Linked DNA regions of Drosophila melanogaster. The protein of the gene in region 1 purifies or fractionates together with the protein of each later gene. This does not show direct contact. Each region holds a gene or a part of one and is shown on either strand. Other genes may lie near its edges. The genes, in order: Syx17, Vamp7, car and Ykt6.

The links.
Region 2: the proteins of Syx17 (region 1) and Vamp7 purify together in Drosophila melanogaster (affinity purification with western blotting; 4 studies listed by BioGRID, with this or other methods). This does not show direct contact.
Region 3: the proteins of Syx17 (region 1) and car purify together in Drosophila melanogaster (affinity purification with western blotting, with the first as the bait; one study listed by BioGRID). This does not show direct contact.
Region 4: the proteins of Syx17 (region 1) and Ykt6 purify together in Drosophila melanogaster (affinity purification with western blotting; one study listed by BioGRID). This does not show direct contact.

What each region holds. Positions count from the first base shown.
Region 1 is NT_037436.4:4,401,462-4,405,695, reverse strand, and holds Syx17 (syntaxin 17), read right to left. Parts: upstream 2,210-4,234; 5' UTR 1,870-2,209; coding exon 1,801-1,869; intron 1,746-1,800; coding exon 1,499-1,745; intron 1,438-1,498; coding exon 848-1,437; coding exon of another isoform or gene 713-847; 3' UTR 528-712; downstream 1-527. Other genes in the region: CG15019 (uncharacterized protein), read left to right, coding at 81-335; slow (slowdown), read right to left, coding at 2,853-2,984, 3,053-3,471, 3,540-3,796.
Region 2 is NT_033778.4:9,840,304-9,844,340, forward strand, and holds Vamp7 (Vesicle-associated membrane protein 7), read right to left. Parts: upstream 2,200-4,037; 5' UTR 1,998-2,199; intron 1,923-1,997; exon of another isoform or gene 1,865-1,922; 5' UTR 1,748-1,864; coding exon 1,544-1,747; intron 1,466-1,543; coding exon 1,237-1,465; intron 1,173-1,236; coding exon 1,105-1,172; intron 1,047-1,104; coding exon 891-1,046; 3' UTR 777-890; downstream 1-776. Other genes in the region: Marc (mitochondrial amidoxime reducing component), read left to right, coding at 1-212, 281-567, 641-746; sting, read left to right, coding at 3,501-3,600, 3,657-4,037.
Region 3 is NC_004354.4:19,563,961-19,570,055, reverse strand, and holds car (carnation), read right to left. Parts: upstream 4,038-6,095; 5' UTR 3,930-4,037; intron 3,874-3,929; exon of another isoform or gene 3,842-3,873; 5' UTR 3,715-3,841; coding exon 2,272-3,714; intron 2,150-2,271; coding exon 1,739-2,149; coding exon of another isoform or gene 1,673-1,738; 3' UTR 655-1,672; downstream 1-654. Other genes in the region: Grip84 (Gamma-tubulin ring protein 84), read left to right, coding at 4,587-4,642, 4,749-5,283, 5,364-5,870, 5,938-6,095. UniProt on the Drosophila melanogaster protein: Core component of the class C core vacuole/endosome tethering (CORVET) and the homotypic fusion and vacuole protein sorting (HOPS) tethering complexes involved in endo-lysosomal vesicle trafficking and lysosome biogenesis.
Region 4 is NC_004354.4:7,918,358-7,922,470, forward strand, and holds Ykt6 (YKT6 v-SNARE), read left to right. Parts: upstream 1-2,051; 5' UTR 2,052-2,318; coding exon 2,319-2,443; intron 2,444-2,532; coding exon 2,533-3,007; 3' UTR 3,008-3,609; downstream 3,610-4,113. Other genes in the region: hdm (hold'em), read right to left, coding at 160-547, 651-807, 859-1,774.

The DNA.
Region 1 (4,234 bases):
TTAGTTTATCGCGATACTACCTTCATTCTTGTTACGTATTTTATATCCTTATTAAAGAAGAAATTGTATTCCTAAAACAGGAGGCCAAATCCAAGGAGGAGCAGGAATTGATCTACGAGCACCAGGAGAGTCTGGAGAAGGGCGAGAAAGTCAAGGTGACCAACGAGAACACGGGCGTGGAGCACATTTTCAACAGCAAGACCCTCAAAGATCAGTACGGCAATTATCCTGCGTGGTTCAAGAAGAAGAAGACCGCCAAGCGTCTAAGAAAGAAGCAGCACTCGCAGAAGAAGAACTTCAAACAGGCCTGGACCACGGTTAATGTTCCCCTATAAATCCGGGGCTGGGTTACCCATCTGGTATCTTATCGTAGTTTATAAGTCCTCGCTTAGTTTAGGAGATTTTGTAGGCTTTTTCTACAAAGATGTTATAGCTAAGAGTATATATTGCATATTAAAGCCCAAACAAGTTCTGAAAAACCCAGATATAGTCTGAACTTCTCAACATGGCAATCAAATAGTATCATTACTTTTTTAAAGCTACGAGTTATTATTGCATATTAAAGCCTTAAAATCTACACACATTTGCGGTGTCATGTGAACAACAAGTATCCAACGCTTAAACTAAAGTGCAGTTACATTATGCTCATTAGCTCTATTGCACGTGGAAAATCACAAAATGGGGATATTGAACTAAAATCGTGGTCAAATTTCTACTGAACGGAACAATAGCTGCGCACGCTGCAAATCACTCCGTTGGTGGCTGCCTCCAAACGTCGTGTGTTCGCCGACCATATGTGCGTGGTGGCCAGAGCCGTGGATGCGGATCGGGCACTTCCTCCTGCGGGTCATTCTGGCTTCTCTTTTAGCTCCAGTCTCTCAGTTGACTCGCTATCCGGTTCCACCTGCTCCTCCTCGATGTTGCCATGCATTACATTGGGATTGGCCTTTAGCACAGAGCCACCGGTGAAGCCGAGGATGCCACATCCTACTGCCGCCAATCCTCCAGCTTTCATGCCCGCCACCAGACCAATGGGTCCTCCCACACAGGTGCCCAGAAGAGCTCCGACTACGGGGTACATGGCCTTCTTGTAGGTGAGCGCCCGGCGCAGATTCAATTCGCCCTGCTGGACATTCTCCAGAGCTTCCTCCGCATTGTCTGCTATCTTTTCCACCGCCACTGATTGCTCTGCAGTCAGTTGACGCATTCCCTGGAACATCCCGTGCAGATCGTAGATCTCCTGTTGCAGGTTCTCCATCTGATCCAGGCAGGCTTGCCTCTGCGCCAATTGGTGTTCCTCCAGCTGGAAATTGAGTTGCAGCTGGGGCATGTGGCGGTGTGCGGGTAGACTGTTCATATCCACCTCCTGTGGCTGATTGTCCAGATCGTCGTCGTACTGAGAACTCAAAGTGGAGGTGGGTGATTTGAGTTGGAGCTCTAAAAATACAGTAGGTGTGTTGGTAAAGCCGAAAGAATTTAGATGGCATTTCAAACTTACCCGCAAATTCCTTCATGCCAGCGAAGGCAGTATCCCTGCCAGGTTTCATTAGGTCGTCGAAACGTTCCAGATCCTCCTCCCGTACTTTTTCTCGCAGTGCATCCATTTCCAGAAGTAGATTCTTGATCTGCTTAATGACCCTCATAGCATTGAGTTCCTCCTTTTTGATTTTTTGCCAGTCGCCGAGCGCCAGGCTTTTTTCTATATTGCTGCGATGGTTTTTCAGTAGGCTCAGATGGTGGGGCACCTATGAGTGTTAAGGAATTAGTTCCGCTCTTCAGAAGATATAGTAAATAACCTACCGCCACATCCTGAAACCTTTGGATGGAGACCTCCGCCTGTTTAAGTGGCAGTTTCTCATCGCGCGTCATCGTGAACTGAATACTTTGAACTCGCAGCGCTTTGATTTTTAATCAGTTTTAATTGTGGTAAAAGTGAAATCTGGGGGATCAGTTTCTGTAACACCCCCCGCCCCTTTTTAACGATGGACCTTGCTTAACAGATTTCCCTGGTTTTTCTGCGCAGTTTTTGCTTTGTTTTGCCAGTGACGTCACTGCTTGCTTTTCGGGATGTTTCCAGTGAGTAGTGCTTTGTTGTTGTGAATGAAACTACGGTGGCATGGTTCCAATCATGCTGGTCTTGTCCCCTATATTTATACTGATAATAATTCTATTGTGCAGTCCAATTATTTGTTTGTTATTGGTGATAGAGATGGCAATCAGTTCGATACTAGCGAATATTGCGCAGCCTTGCCCACACTCGATATTATTCTTACAGTTATCGATTGTCTCCGCTGGTGGGAATCCCCGCTAAAAGGTCAGCTTACAGCCGAGGTCATAAAAATAGTTGTTGACTCACCATTATTGCATTTAAAAGGAAAAATAACCAAATTTTATGTTGCGCGTTAAGTTGTAGCCAATATATAAAAGTAAATATTGCAGCACTTTACCTTTTTTTTCATGATAACTTCCAGATAAATAGATTTCCTTTGTTAAATATCCCATGAAAGACCCATTAAAATCAGAAAATGCATTTATTCGTGCAGTGATTTCTCATATACATTAAAATTATATACAGATACATGCAGAAACTAATCACTGCACCACCCACATGAAGAGCGGTGCAGAGTGCGGTGGTGCGCTTACGTCTAAAACTTCACATCTCGATACATTTATGACACACGTTCTCGCTTAAGTACTAATAGCCCGATCCGTGGGCTAATTCTACAGACTACAGAGGCACTCGACTCGCATTCGGGAATGGCTTACAAGCAGGAGCATCTAGCTACACATGAACGGAGTGGTCAATTAAGTTAACTAACATTTAATAATAGCGTGGGGAAATGCAGTTCTGTTTAGGGGCAATTGGCATTGGGGCCATTCCGGCACTTCAGCAGCAGGTTCAGCATACCCTCCAGCTTGTTCGTCCGGGACTCTGTCTTGTAGAGATTCGTCTGCAGTCGACTGACATCCTGAGCCTGCTTTTCCTGAGGGCATACGAAGTAATCGTTAAAGTATGAATATTCAAATATAGAAGTTCAACTCTAATCCTTACCAGCGTGCTTAGCCGACTCTTGAGTGTGTCCACCACACTGTAGGTGGCCTGCAGCGACTTTTGCAGCTCGTTCGTGTGCACTCGCTCATTGGCCAAGGACTTTTCGATCTTCTGGAGTCGCGTGGCCACCTCCGCGTCCGTATCATCGATATCGTTCTCCAGATCCCGAGCCTCGAACGCATCGTCCGCATTCGTGGACACCTTCTTGCAGCTCTGCTGATCCGACTGGAGAACGAATCCCTGACGGCAGCGGCAGAAGTAAGATCCATGCGTATTGATGCACTGTTGATCGCATGGCTTCTCCGTCTGGCACTCGTCCACATCCTGCTCGCAGAAACGTCCTGTGAAACCAGTTGGACAGCTGCAGGTGCTAGGAGCCGTACAATTGCCACCGTTTTGGCAGCGCGCGGAGCAAATAGCTGTAAATAATTAGAAGATAAAAATATTCCAAATTCATTGCAATCTATGTATTTTGTTTAAGACTCACGTTTCATGCACGAATCCGACCTTGGGTTTTCCCGGCTCCATCCCGTGCAGCAGTCGTAGGTCATCTGCTGGGCGGTCTTGTGATCGATGACGTCCCTGTAGGCCTGCTCGTGGACCACCTGCACCCTGGTGCACTTCTGGCCACTAAAGGTGGGCGGCTGGCAGGGCGTGGCCACGTGCTTCCAGGTGGGACGACTGTAGACCTCCGTTCGCTTCACGGGCATCGTAACCGTTCGCTGTTGCATGCAAATGTGCCGCCTGCAATGAGTAGCAAGGAAAACAAACCAGAGCGAGGTGTGAATCGAATAGGATTGGAATGGATTCGAGCGGTGTGGCTGACCCAAATCAGCGGCTCATCATCTGCAAAAGTGAAACTGACTTTTCCAGACGACTTCGCCCAATTACAGTCATAACGACACAGAGCGGCCAACAGGTTGTTTTTAGGAGTGGGATCTGGGCAATTGTCACATGTGTCTGGAAGTGCCAGCGGATTGGATTGGATTGGATTCGATTGGACTGGACTACGATATTAGCGTGTTCGCGTATCTGCGATGACAAACACGACACGCTCCCAGCCGATGACTTGCAGCCATGTCAGCCATGTCATTTGTTTGCCCGCCACTCGGACTCGGATATGGAGGAGCAGCCAGATGGCAGTTTGGCAGCCTGGCAGCCTATCAGCCTGGCAACCAAGTG
Region 2 (4,037 bases), on another chromosome or scaffold:
AGCTGGACGGTCCTGGCAAGGATGTGAAAACTTCCGTTTGGGGCGTTTCCATAGACGTGATGCCCTGCGGAGATCGGATCAACACGTGGTTCTCCCAGGCCATCCTGAAGAAGGAGAGCGGCCTCAAGCTAGTTCACTATCCCTATCCGAAACCAGTGAGATGCACCAATCCCCGCCTAAAGTCCATGCCATTCATTAGACAGGAGGACTCGGTATGTTCCTGATGCGCAATTCGAAGTGTTAGGACCCAGATCACCCTTGATTTGAATTCTTTCCATAGGGCACTTTTAACGATGCCACCAGCTTTATGCTGATGAACCTTTCGTCGGTCGCCGATCTTAATACTCGGTTAAAGAATCCGGTGGATGCACTGCAGTTCCGAGGTAACTTCGAACTGAAAATGGATGTTGATGAGCCCTATGCCGAGGACAATTGGCAGTGGGTGCGTATAGGCGAAGATGCTGTTTTCCGTACGGTGGCGCCATGCACTCGCTGTATTTTTACCAACATTAATGCGAAGACCGCAGAGAGGAGTTCCGAAGGAGAGCCTCTCAAAACGCTCAGAAGGTGAGTCACTACCCATGGAAATATCTGAGAAGTACGACTTACAAAACCCGACCCTCATATCTGGAATCCACAGCTATCGCTTGTTCAACTACAGTTCGCCGGCTCTGGGCGTTCATATGGGACTTCGGCTGCCGGGAAAGGTGAAGGCCAACGACGTCGTGTATGTGGAGGACAAGTGAATATTCCATTATCTCTTCTAACACTTTATCCGGTATACATTGAAGTTTATTACATAGAACATAGATGAGAGTACTGTAGAGTTTTATATGCAAATATACATGTGTTATGAGCCTATAACAATATAAACAACTTTAAAGCTTGTCCTAAACACAGGACTGCCAAGCGAGGCCACCACAGGCCATGCTCACAATCACGTAAACGATGAAGGTTATCACCAGACCCACCACCACGTAGACGCGGATGTTCTTCCAAAACATTTGACGAGCCAAATTTCGGGAGGCCTTACGGAATGCAACGGACTGTAAGAGAGATCAAATGAAAAACACATTTAAAAGTCTCTGCTTGGCATCACCTTACATTATTGCTCAAGTTTTCGGTCTTGTTGACGAGCAGCTCTAGTTTCTCGCCGCGATCCCGCAAGCTGTCTGCAAATGGGATGAAAAGGGAATAGTAAACAAAAAGAACATACGGATTTTCCTTCCTTCATACCAATATTCTTAACCATAATGTCTTTAAGCTCGTCAATCTGACCATGTACTCGCGAAATGGTGTCCACCTCCCGGGACTGACTGAAATAGACCATCTGCTGGGCCAGGATCTTGGAGAACTCGGTGTTCATGGAGTAGGCGATGGCGGTGGCCACCTGTAGGCCGTAAGTCTGGATAAACTTCTGCTTGATATCCGCCAAGAAGAGGAAGGCCCGCGACCGTTCGAACTCCTACAAAGAAACGATACGTTATCGATTGGGCAATAAGCAACTGAGGTGGCTAATTGGGCCAGTGGTTCGTTCACCCACGTTGTCGGTGATGCACATGTAGACCAGTTTGTTCTCGCAGGTGTAGTGGATCAGGTAGTCTCCGTGTGTGTAGGTCATCTTGTGGTTATGCACCCCGATCCGTCCGATTATGTGCTCCGTCACTTCGGCAAAGTTGCCGACGCACTCCGCAAACTTCGCCAGCACTGTGGTGCCCCGCGATATCACACTATATAGTATCGGCATGGTGCCACAGATTCTCCTTTGCTAAGGGCGCGGTTGTTCAGCTCCTCAGGCTACTGCTTTGTTTTGCTTATCGGGGAATGAGCCGACGATCCGTCAATGATGACGTGCTCTCGGATTCTGAGAAATGTACATATCGATTTAGAAACTACTACTATCCAATTGCGAGCCTATCAATCTGAACAATAACTCTGTTTATGAGTAACATACGTATATATGTGTAATATGCAAATTGTTATATCAAAGTACTTGCTTTGTTTATCCAATTAGATCCGCCTCGAGTTGATAGCGCAACTGCAGATTTACATTTTGTGGTAAGCGGCTTAAGTTATTATCGATTTTCAATTGCTTTTGCCGAACACAATAAAAACATCACAATACCGTGGAATTAGCTCGATTTTTGCATTACAAATAACAACAATTGCTGACGCTTCGATGCAGTTATAAAATTAGAGGTGGAAGGACGGTACATCGACGCATCGATATTTAATGGAGCCGATAAGTCTGGCTTTATCGCACGGTCACACTGCATAACGTGTTTTACAAATTATGTTATACGGTCTTATGATTATTTGCATTTGCTTATTAAATTAAATGATCTCCGCAACTTAAATAGGGGCATCCCACCGATAGCGTTTCAGTATTGACGAGAGCATCAGTTCATCCAGTTGAGATTCTTCTCCCCGGACAAAGAATTTTCCATTAAAGTAAATTTAAATTAATAGCGTTCCCAAGCTTTTGCTCCTGAGATCTTTGAGCCTGGATCCATTCGTTTTGACAGAAAAAACCGCAGGTAATAACTTAAACTATGTACACACGCAAGATACAATATACGTAGTTTCAATATGCGCATATGCTGCCGAAATATTCGATTTAAAATTACTTATTTTAAAAGACTTAGAATTCTCATTTATTCTGGCCACAAATATGGCACGATTGCACTTTTTTGAGCCTTTTACAGGATAAGGTTTCTATAGAATTTAATATTAGAACACAATAAGCATGCTTAAATAAGATCATTTATCAAATCTTATAATTCGTTTAGGGTGTAGCTATCAGTATTTAAGTTGCAGAGTAAGAGCGTAATGGTTAACCATTGTTGATGGTTAATTAACCACCAATTGGTTAACCATTGTTAATGTTTAATTATCTTTGTTATTTTTTATTATTTTGATCTTGATTAAGAATATATATACTTTACATGGCCGGGAACGCTTCCTTCTACCTGTTACTTACTTTTCAACGAATCTAGTATACCCTCTTACCAAAGACACTAGAATAACAATATGCGTTTTTGGGAGGAGTCTAGAGCTGGCTCCGGCTCTCACGAATATTTGTTCCAGAGGGCGGAGAGCTTTACAGTCAGCAGATTTCATGTCTGTATATGTATCTGATAGTCGGAACCGGACATTGTTACCTAAAGTTTTATTTCGAATACAAATTGATTAACGAATCTTTGAGGCTATATTGATAAAATCTTATCTGATACCTGATAAACAAACACAAAAGTAAATAATAATAAAAAGATATAACAATGTAGTTCCTTCATTGCTTCCGTCATACATAAATATGTGCATTTGTATGTGCACGCAATGTAATTAATATTTAGGAGCCCAAATTCAGTTATGTATACCTATGCAAGCCCAATAAACAAATTTATATATAATTTAACGGCATTTGAAATTCCAGCGAAGTTTTCGCGAGATCTCCAAATCGATCTGGCAACCCTTGAGACGTACATATGTATGCAGACGAAATGGCAATCGCTAGCAACGTTGTCGAAGCGGGGAACGCGGTTCGCGCGGAAAAAGGCAGAAAATATTTTTATTTTCGAAAGATGATAGGAGATTATATTGGTGAGTGATGACCGATGGACGCCATAAATTATCTTTACGGTCGTGATTCGTTGCAGACACCTCTATTCGCATTGTAGCCACCGTGTTCTTGGCTGATCTGCTCCTTCGCTTGTACCGCTGTGTCGTCGAATATGGGAGCAATGGGCGGTACTATTTGCCCGAGGATCGGCTGTGGATAATCCTGCGGCGCTCGTGCACGTATAACAACAGATCGATATACCTGATTGTGGGATTCCTTCTCGTAGCTTTTTTTCGAATTTCGGTTACCGGGAATTACAGGAACGTAATGCCCACGACGCTGTTTCTGTTCCAAATGCCGCTCTACTGGATATGGAGCTTTACCGATATGGACCAAAGCACCCTGAGCTACTCGCACTGGATACGTGACTCCCATGGACTAGACTATGCGGCCGGAATGGCCTCCAACTACTTTCACG
Region 3 (6,095 bases), on another chromosome or scaffold:
TGCACCAGTATCGTATCCACCATGGTCACTAAGCCACCTTGGCTAGCTCCATATGGTAGCGAAATGGATGGAGGTGGAAGTGGACGTGGACACGAAAACGGGAAATGAGAGAGATAGAAGATAGCTAGAAAGAAGCACGGGGAAGCACAGTATATGTAATATTTTTATGTTTATAAAATTGTTCATATATATATTTTTTTTTTGTATTATTGTAATAATTATTATACGAATATAAATTGTATTTTTGCAATTACGGTAACTGAAGATGGAAAACGAATAACAATTAAATTGATGCACACGTCAATGTCAATAAAATAAAACATATTTCAAAATACACATGGCCGCAGTTCCGTGTTTAGTTTACTTGGGACATGGACAGCGGATTGCGGTCGGGATGTCTAGCCATTATACATCGATTTCGGAAAGTGCTGTTCAAGCGAAGAAGTTGGGATTGGGACGACAAACTGCTAAAGGATGGCAATGCATATATGGTTGCTCGAGTTAAAGGGTATGCTAGATTCGTTAGGGATTACCCAACAGGCAGATCATCATTCGGCAAATTAACGGGTATGTTTTAGTCGAGTATCTAACACTCGACGCTCTACGTTTTGAGTATCTACGGAGTAGAGAGAAAGAAAGATAATGAACACTTTTGTTTGGAATGCTTTCCGTTTATTTGAAATTTCATTTAATTACATTTACATCGAGTCGAATAACCTCGGAACTCGGATTAATTTAAACACCATTGAAATGTTCACTTTGAGATACATTTAGGTCTTGCACATAAGGATGAGAATATTATTGATCACATAAAACGAAAGTCGTACACAGTTCGTTCCACTCGAAATGCGAGAACATACATACATAGAACATTTTGTTGACTTTGGCTTATCAGCAGAGATAAAGATAAAGATCTTAAATATCTTTTGCAGCTGTTGATTGATTGCCACAGCTACATACCCATATGCGCTCTATCACTAATTACATTTCAACATATTTGGATTTCCGCCATCCATTGGATCCAATACTTTCCGGATATGATATACATGCTTAAGGATAAGCCTTGAGGAACATTCAATGCACTTGCTGCTGTTGAACGAACATACACAAAGTTACATCAAATTCACATCATTTAGAAATTCATAACCATTTACAAGCAATACGGGCAATTTACGGGCTCATAAAACATCGATATGCGGTTAAATATGCGGTTTGTAATCTGTATATGGCGCTGGGGAATATATATATGTATGTGGCGGCATAACATTGACTAAACTTTTTATTTTGAAAATATTTGTCTTGCACACGTATGTATGATTGAAAGTTGGAATTATTTGCACTTAAAACTACAATTGCCAAGCTTGAATAAATGGGATTTGCAATTTTTTTGTTTTTTTTTTTTGCTTAAGACTACATACTTCGGTATACATAAATATACATATTATGCTTGAATCTATCTATATACATACATGCTCTTTAGGTTACAAGAATAAATAATAAATGCCGCGTTCGAAAAATAAATATTTTATGGTTTCCGCTTGCCGGCGAGTCCTTAGTAATCGTGTCATTCACAACGCCCCTAGCATCCTGGATTCTCATCTGCAGTCCCGATTGCCGCGCTGCGCCGCTTGCCCTTTCTCTTTGATCTCGGCTTCAGCGGAACGGACGCGTTTCATCCACGTGCCAGGCCGTGGGCGTTGGACAGGCGATAGGCTTCCAGTCGGCTTAGCCGCCGGCCTCACGAGCTCATCAGGCTGTCCAGGAAGGAGTGTTTGTTGACCACCTTCGTGGTGGCAATCAGGAACTCCACGTTGTTGTCCTCCTGGGCGGCGAGGAAACGCAGCGCAGCTATTTCAGCGAACGTGCATCCGCCCACAAAGCAGACGAGCACCACTCGCGGCACATTCAGTAGGGATCCCTCGCTGACTGTGGTGACCGTATGCCGTCCACCGATGCCCACCAACTGCGCCTGAAAGTCCTCGAACGTCGGTCCGGGCAGGTTATTGATTTGGCTCTTAAGCGTCTGCCAACCCAGCGGTTTGAGCGAATGCTCCACAATGCGCGCGGTCAGCGGAGCGTAGAAGCTGTGCACGTAGCTGATGTCCTTTGGCTCAATTTCAACGTTGTCGTCCACCGTGAGGTGCAGCGTCTGCAAGAGAAAATGATGTTTTGATGTAGCAACATCCTAAATAGCATTCCCTCATATATTCACTCACAAATAACTATATAACTTATAACTAAATATGGTTGGATTACTGAATTGGCGCTCACCTTTCGCAGAACGCTGTAAGCCCGCGACTCTGTTTGCAGATGGAGCAGGCCCGATTTCTCCAGGTTGCTGATGGTGAGCAGCACTTCCAGACCGTACACATGGACCAGTTCGCGCTTGTAGTGGTTAAGCAGCTTCTCCTTGAATCCGGAGGCGGCGTGGCACTGCATGCAGATGAGCCGCAGGACGCGATTCAACTCCACCCTGCAGGCAATCAGGTCCTCGATGTAGGCGCTTGGCTTGTCGATATCTGCGCAGACCATGAACTCCTGCTCGGCAGCCAGGTCGTCAGCGAAGCGCACCGCGTTCACCTGTTCGTGCAGGAGGCCAGCGATGGCCGTATGCTCAGAGGTGGCCTTCTTCTGGGCCATTAGCTGCGGCAGGAGGTTCTCGACGAAGCTCTTGATCTCCTGCACGCTCTTGTCCTGGGAGGTGGCGTGCATCTGGACGTGAATTTCCCGTGCCTTGCGAGCGAGCAGCTTGGTGACCTCGTTGAAGTGCTTGTTCCGCAGCTCCGCGTACAACTGCTCGCCGGAGTGCAGTAGGATGGTCTTTTTCTCGGTGTCACCCAGCAGCGACTGCGATTCCTCGACTCGTGGGCCACTGCCTCCGCCTCCGGGAAGGGCTCCGTCAGAGGGAAAGTTCTCGGCGGGCAGCGTCAGTTTGTTCTGCCGGATGCCGTAGAACTCATCGATAAGCCCCTCGTAGGTGAGTTGTGTGGCCAGCGGGCTGAGCAGATCGATGCTTCTGTCCAGAAGGATCAACTGATCGACGACACCCTTGTCGCCGTTGTACAGAGTCCGCTCATCCCGGCCCAGCTGCTTGGCGTGCTCCCATACCCTGTGCGCAAACTCTCCTTTTCCGTAGATCTTCGGAATGCGACCGTATAGACGCTGCAGCTGCACTAGGCCCACTGCCGCCTGATACAGCGAGCTAGTGTCACCGTCCACACTCACATCGCGGAAGGCATTGGGCATCTCCATCGATACCAGGTCGACATCCAGCGGCAGATAGTTCCAGGCCAGTTCCTCGATGTTTCCGAAGCTGCCCAACACGCCGCTGACCTCCAGTTGGCTGACGCACAGACATGACCGCCTCGGGGCGAACAGGATGTGGTACTGCCGTCCAGCGGCCGCTCTTCCGCCTGCCTTCACGTGGGCGGCCAGCTGCTCCATCAGCGCCACGCGTGGGCGCATCACGTACACCACATTGGCCACCTCGCGCGGCAAATGAAGCTCCGGCTTGAGGGCCAGCAGACGGATGCCTCGATCAGCGAATAACTTTGGCCGGGTAACCAAGTCCAGCGGTCCGATCATGGTCTCGTCCAGCACAATAACCTTGGAACCCTCAATGCGGTCCAGCTGCTGCAGCAGCTCGCGGCAGGCGGCCTCCTGCAGCAACTGCAGGTTGACCCGCTGACCATGGCCCTTCAAGTGGGGGAACATGCTCCTTTCCTCTTGCCAGAAGTGTTGATTCGTATGCTCTGCGGCTTCCGGTCGGTCGCTACCGTGTCCTTGGTGGGCGGTTTGTGCAGTGCGTTGGTGGTGTTGGTGCAACGCCCACGGATTTCGGCTGCAGAAGATCAGGGACGCGACTGTAATCGCTGCAAAGCAGCTGATTTGGACTGCGCCTGCGCTCAGCAGTGCGGTCTTACACTTACCCTTATGGCACGGTCACACTGTCCGCTGCTCTATGGGCCATTCACACTATCACTTGCCTGCAATTTAAAATCAAAACAGTTGCCAGATATAAATTTTGTTGATTAAACAAGAATATAAAGTTAAGATAGAATAAAATAATAGAGGAGTAGTTTCAATTATTTAATCTGTGGGTAGAAAGTATTTCTTATTTATTTTTTATGTACAGCTTTTTTCATTTAACAAAATTTGTATTTTTTCAATGCTTTGCACGCTTTAACGCAAATAAGTTACAGTAGTGGCCAGTCCAGTGTAAACTATGCTAAACGCACCCCTCTTTTTCGCCAGCAACCAGTGTCACCACATCCTCACAATTAAATACCAACAAATGCCAATTTGCATCAAGTTGCTTGTGCTGCTCATTTCAGTTTAAATTGATTCCGAAATTGCTGCAAGCGCGTAAAATAAAATGAGCATCTGCGATTTTAAAACGGCTAAGGATTGAAAAAAAAACTAGAACATTACAAGGACAGATGACAACCCTGTCGCTGCAGTCGGCACTCAAGCAACCCGGAAAAGAACAACAAAATATTGAGAAGAGCGGCGCACTCAAAAAGAGCTCAATTGCCGGTTATAACTGTAAATTGAGAAGCGCGGAACTATAAATTGCCATCTCCGTGATGAGTAAACCCCATGCGCTGCGCGGTGTGCTCGCCAATTTGATCAGCGAGTCGCAGTAAGTGGATTGAGTGCACAGGTGGCCAGTCGATCTAGCCGTTGCTCCTGCACCGCCTCTTTCCCGCCATTGGCACCATAGTTTACTGTCATTTTTTATCCCACAGATCGCCCCTAACTCCGGAGAGCATCATTCGGGAGTTTCGGGCCACTAGTGATCGGCGGCTGCCAGCCTGCGATCTGATCAAAGTCCTGGTGTCCATCAGCGAGAAGCGTCCCAACTTCGCAGAGGTGACCAAGGAGATCTCGCACATTCTGCAGAATAAGGATCCCATGTACGCACTGCTGGTGTTCGTCGAGCGATACAGCGAATGCAAACCAGTCTCCGAGAGCAGCAGTTCCACTAGCCTTTCAGCGATGGGCTTGCCGCACGGAAACAAGACTTCGGATGTTAATTCCGCAGCCGGTTCAGTCCCCACCACATTGGCAATCGCAAGCACCTCGACAATCTTAACCACATCGCAAAACGTATCTGGTTCCACCAGGCTTAGCTTGACCCAGTCCCAGGACTTTCCCACCTCGACGCCGGTGAATTGCAAAAAGGCCACTGAATCCGACACTACACCCGTAGTCTTTGTCAGGCGCGGCCCAATGGACCGTAACCGTGGAGCGGGCAAGGATGAGCGCAACGACTTAAGTGTGGTGAGTGCAGACTAAGTATGGTGTGCTGTTCGCTGCCAATTACTTGGCCCCTTCAAATAATCAATGATCAACCCACACAGATCAAGGAACGTGTGCTTAATGCCGTTTCCGATCAATCCTTGAGCGGCTACCGCTCGGTGACCAACAAAACGGGCAACAGCCCAAAGTCAATGCCGAATGACCTGGTGACGCTAACTGATGTGCCCGATGAGTACCGCACCCATTTACTGTGGGAATACTACAAGGTGGACGGGGACAAGGTGCCGAGGGCAGAGATCGCGGCAATGCCGCTTCTCAGCCAGGAGAGTATGCTGCTCGACGAGCTGCTGCACTGCCTCACGGGCATAAGAGAAAGCCTCCTGGTGCCTCAGAAGCCAATTATTTCTGCCGTTGGCCTGGCCAAATACGACACGGACTTTGACATACACACGCACCTCGATCGCTCGCTGACACACCAGGTGCGGGAAATCTTGCCATTGGCCTCCTACTTCATGGGCGTGCAGAAGATAATCGCGGCTACCGACGGCCTGGGTCAGGTGATGAACTCATTGAATGAGGCACTGCAGGAACTTACACACGACTTCTATGTAAGGATGTGCAATCGTGTCGTGGCAAAATTTTTCCCTAACTAATCTTTTTTTCCACCGAGCCTAGCTGATAATCGTACAAGCCGAACAGGAGCTGCGCCACAATAGATTAACATTGCAGAAACTACTGTACTACCTGCAGCCGACGATGTGGGTGATGCATGAGGTCTGGTCCTCGTTGGTGATCATTCAGCTAAGCGATTCACGGGATGCCGAAGTGTTGAC
Region 4 (4,113 bases), on another chromosome or scaffold:
GCCAAACGTATCCCACTTAGGACCCACATTAAGAGTTTCGAGGCGCTTTCAATCTATTTATGTATTGCAGTTGTACACTTTTATGTGAAAATGCGAAATAAAGATCGCTATTTATGTAGATGGTTCACCAGTATTTTGATGGGACCACCCCACATACACTTAGAAAACGACCATATTTGCGACAAGCTTTTCCAGGGGAATGGCTTGCATGTCGACGACCACAATGACGAGATGATTGCGCACTCCCACCGGCTTTTTGATCATCAATCTTACCTCGAAGTATTTCAGCAGAAAGCGCCACTTTAGCTCGCTTTTCTCGCGCTCCGCCAGTCGCTCGAAGTCTTCAGCCCGAAGTCCCAGGATACGTTCTGCCGGATGTCCAGCTAACCGGGCTTCGACGAGAGTGCCGGTCTGGTCGGACAAATGAATGTTGATATTGAAGTAGCTAATGGATCGTGGTTCATCATTGTCCAATGAAAAATACTGCTGGCAGGCGTCCGAGGCGCAATCTTGCAGGTTCCGTGGTATATGTTGTTGACAGGCAATGCTGTAAAATAAAAGGGCTTTTAAGAATATGTCTTGTAAACTATGTAACGGATAGTGGGAAGCGTTTCGGCGGTTAGGAAGGGATGGGGATGTACAACACCCACCACTTCCTGTTGACGTGGGAGGTCAATCCATCCAAGTCGAACTTGGTGACCATCCCATACAGCACTGCAGTAAACTGATGTATGGACGGATCCTGCAGTTCGCCCTCGGCGCGTGAATATATCTGTCTTACCGTCATCTGCGCCTGAATGCTGGCAACTGAAAGAGTTATAGTAAATAATAATACTGCATTAATTATCCTTTACTCACCTGCAGGCATGTTGTCCAGCTCTGCCTGGTCACAGCCACTAAAAGTTGTTAGAGGCACAGTGGCGGCGAAAGCTAGCAAGAGACGGCAATCATCTCCAGCCGCCTGAGGATTTTCGCAAATAAGTGTGCAATTGGAATGGGAGAGGACGAGAGAACGATGAAAGTTCGAGTAGGAAACACGCACGTCGATCAAATGAAGGACAGTGCGACGTGGCTGCCATTGCTGGGCACGTTGTATCCAGTCGGGTTGCCAAACGGAGAGCAGCATACCTTCCGGATAGCTGGCATCGATCACGATTACTTCCAAGCACTGTAGCAGCTCCTGGACCTCACTTAGTGGCCCCTGCAGCTTTCGCTTTATCTGACGCACTGGACGCACTGCAGCCACTACTACCAGTAGATTCACATTGGTGGTGATTATCTTATCGGGAAATCCCAAGCCGGAACGCACATCCGCCAGCTTAAGGACCGCACCAAGTGGCCTTATGGGCTGATGGAGTAACTGCTGGAGAATTGTTATTTGGCCAAAGTCGTCATTGTCGTGGCGCACCACATAGCCGGATCCCTCGTTGACCACCAGGGCGCAGGAGACCGTCGCTTGGGGCTGATAACGCTGTTCTCCCGGAGCAGCAAACGGTATGGACATCACTTTAGCGCCCACAATGTCTACCACATGGCCGATCTGCAGCATGGCCGCGTACTCATCCACACAGTCCCGCTGGCCCCAGCACTTGCAATTGGTCAGGTGATTGGGGGAATCTCGGATGGTCAAGCTGAGAACCCCTCGTTCGGTGCCACTCATCTTGTCATAGAAGATGTTCGGCGAGGATTTGGAGACAATCAGGGCAACGGTGGAGAAACGGGTCATTGTGGGACGCATCTCTGCCAACCGCTGGAACTTAATACGCCTTGCCATTGAAATTATTTAAGAAATCGCGACCAGTCAGATTGCAGTGCTTAAGAAAACCGTTACATTGCCGTTACCGCCGATTAGTAGTTATCGATGTTTGTAGTGATGGTACACCACAAATGGCCGTAGATTCAGTTAGTAACAGAAAGTATTGCTAACAACTTAGTTTGATAAAAACCACAATTAAAACATTTACAGAAAGTTGCGCTTATTAATTGTAACCATTGGAATCGATAATAATCGGATGGCATCCGAATACCAGACGTACCATCCCTAATAAGCTGACACACACTACGCATATGTGCACCCGCGCACACACACACGCACACACAGAGGGGAACGGCACAGATTTACTGCGTTAAACAAACTCACTTGTCGCACTTTTCCACGAATGCCAGTGCGCTGAAAGTGAAACCCATCCGCCGGAGCATAGTAGGATTAGCCAGGACAACCGTTCAGCTCAGTGCCCCAGAAGCATTTAATTGGAGGAGCAACAGTCGAGCAACCCGCGACCCGCAGACCCAGTCTTGGCAGCCCACAGCCACTCAAAATGGTCAAACTATTCGCGTTGAGCATCTTTCACAAGGGCGCCAGCGAGGCGCGTCTCCTGAAGACCGCCTCGGACCTGCAGTCCTTCTCCTTTTTCCAACGTGGCACCGTCAACGAGTTCATGACGTGAGTATGCATGTGGATGCCAAAGAACGGCGCAGGCTCAAAGAGTCATCAATGACGAACACCCCCCTAAACAACTCCTCCTCTTGCAGTTTCGCTTCGAAGACGATTGTGGAGCGCACACAGCCGGCCCTGCGGCAATCGGTGAAACAGGATGCCTACATGTGTCATGTCTATGTGCGGGCGGACAATCTGGCCGGTGTACTGATCGCCGATCATGAGTATCCGCATCGCGTGGCGCACACGCTTATCACAAAGATTCTGGATGACTTTACGGCCAAGGTGTCGGCCGATCAGTGGCCCAATGGCACGGAGGCCACTATCTCATTTGACTTGCTGCCAGCGTTTCTAGCACGCTATCAAAATCCCGTCGAAGCAGATCCGCTGACGAAAATGCAAAACGACCTGGACGAAACGAAGATCATACTGAAGAATACCATCGAGGCGGTGCTGGAGCGGGGCGAGAAGCTGGACGACATGGTCAGCAAGTCGGAGAAATTGTCGCTGCAGAGCAAGGCGTTCTACAAGACGGCGAAAAAGACTAACTCCTGCTGCAGCTTCACCTAGACGACAGCTGCACCTCTCATCACCCCCCACCACACGCTAATCCTCTCAAGCAACAACCACAACAGGAAACACCAGAAAATGCAAATCAAAGACAACACAAAGGATAATGGATAACACGATAACACCAACAAACTACAACCAAACAAACTCCAAGGGAGCGGTGCGACTTGGGCTTTGATGATTGCTTTTTATAAATGAATTAGTTAATTTTATATACTATATATATATATTATATTATATACTGTATGAATAGGATGGCCAGTTGCCAGTTACGATAGTCCGCTAACCCAATGTCTACCTGTCTGTATATGTCTACGCTTTGGATATCTAAATGTTAATTACTACCAATACAGATTACGATCTAAACCCATGTGCTTAACATAATCTTCTCTTCACTTATGTGTTGGCACGGCGGTCCAAAATTGGCCCTTTGCTAGCTATTGATGTTGTGGGCCTTCTTATCGCCTCCACGGCGGATCTATGTATACCAATCGGATCGGAAGGCTGCACCTATGTATACACATGCAGTCGCACTTCCGATCCGGGCAACTGGCGGTCGGAATGTGTGGGCGTTTCAATAAAGAAGTATTATGGGAAATGTGAACCAAGCTCGTTTTCATTGCTCACATATACAAACCTTATCTTTGTCAATTTTGGCAAAATGTACAAACTATTTGTACGAGCTCTGTACATAGCACATGAACTTATTTTTATTTATGTAATACGTACCACTTTATCTTAAGTGCAAATTCCATTCCTCCCAAAAAAGCAAAATCAATTTAAAAGTGATTTTCTGTTGGCGTTTATTTATTATATAGAAGACACCTATTTCGCTTCTTGTAAAGATTTCCGTTACATTTTTCATATTTATGCGTTTTCCTTACGTTTTCGTGTTTAACCTTTTGGATTTTGGTTATGTTTAATGGGTTCGGTTTGTATAGCCTAGTATAAGATAGGTAAATCGATTACAATTTAGTTTTCGCCCCCTCTCCATCGCAATTTTCTTGTGTGTTTGCGCGGGGAGAAAGGGGAGGCGGTGCATTATAAATATATGCATTATACTGCATACCTATATCGTTTCGTTATAATTAATATAATATTGTGTG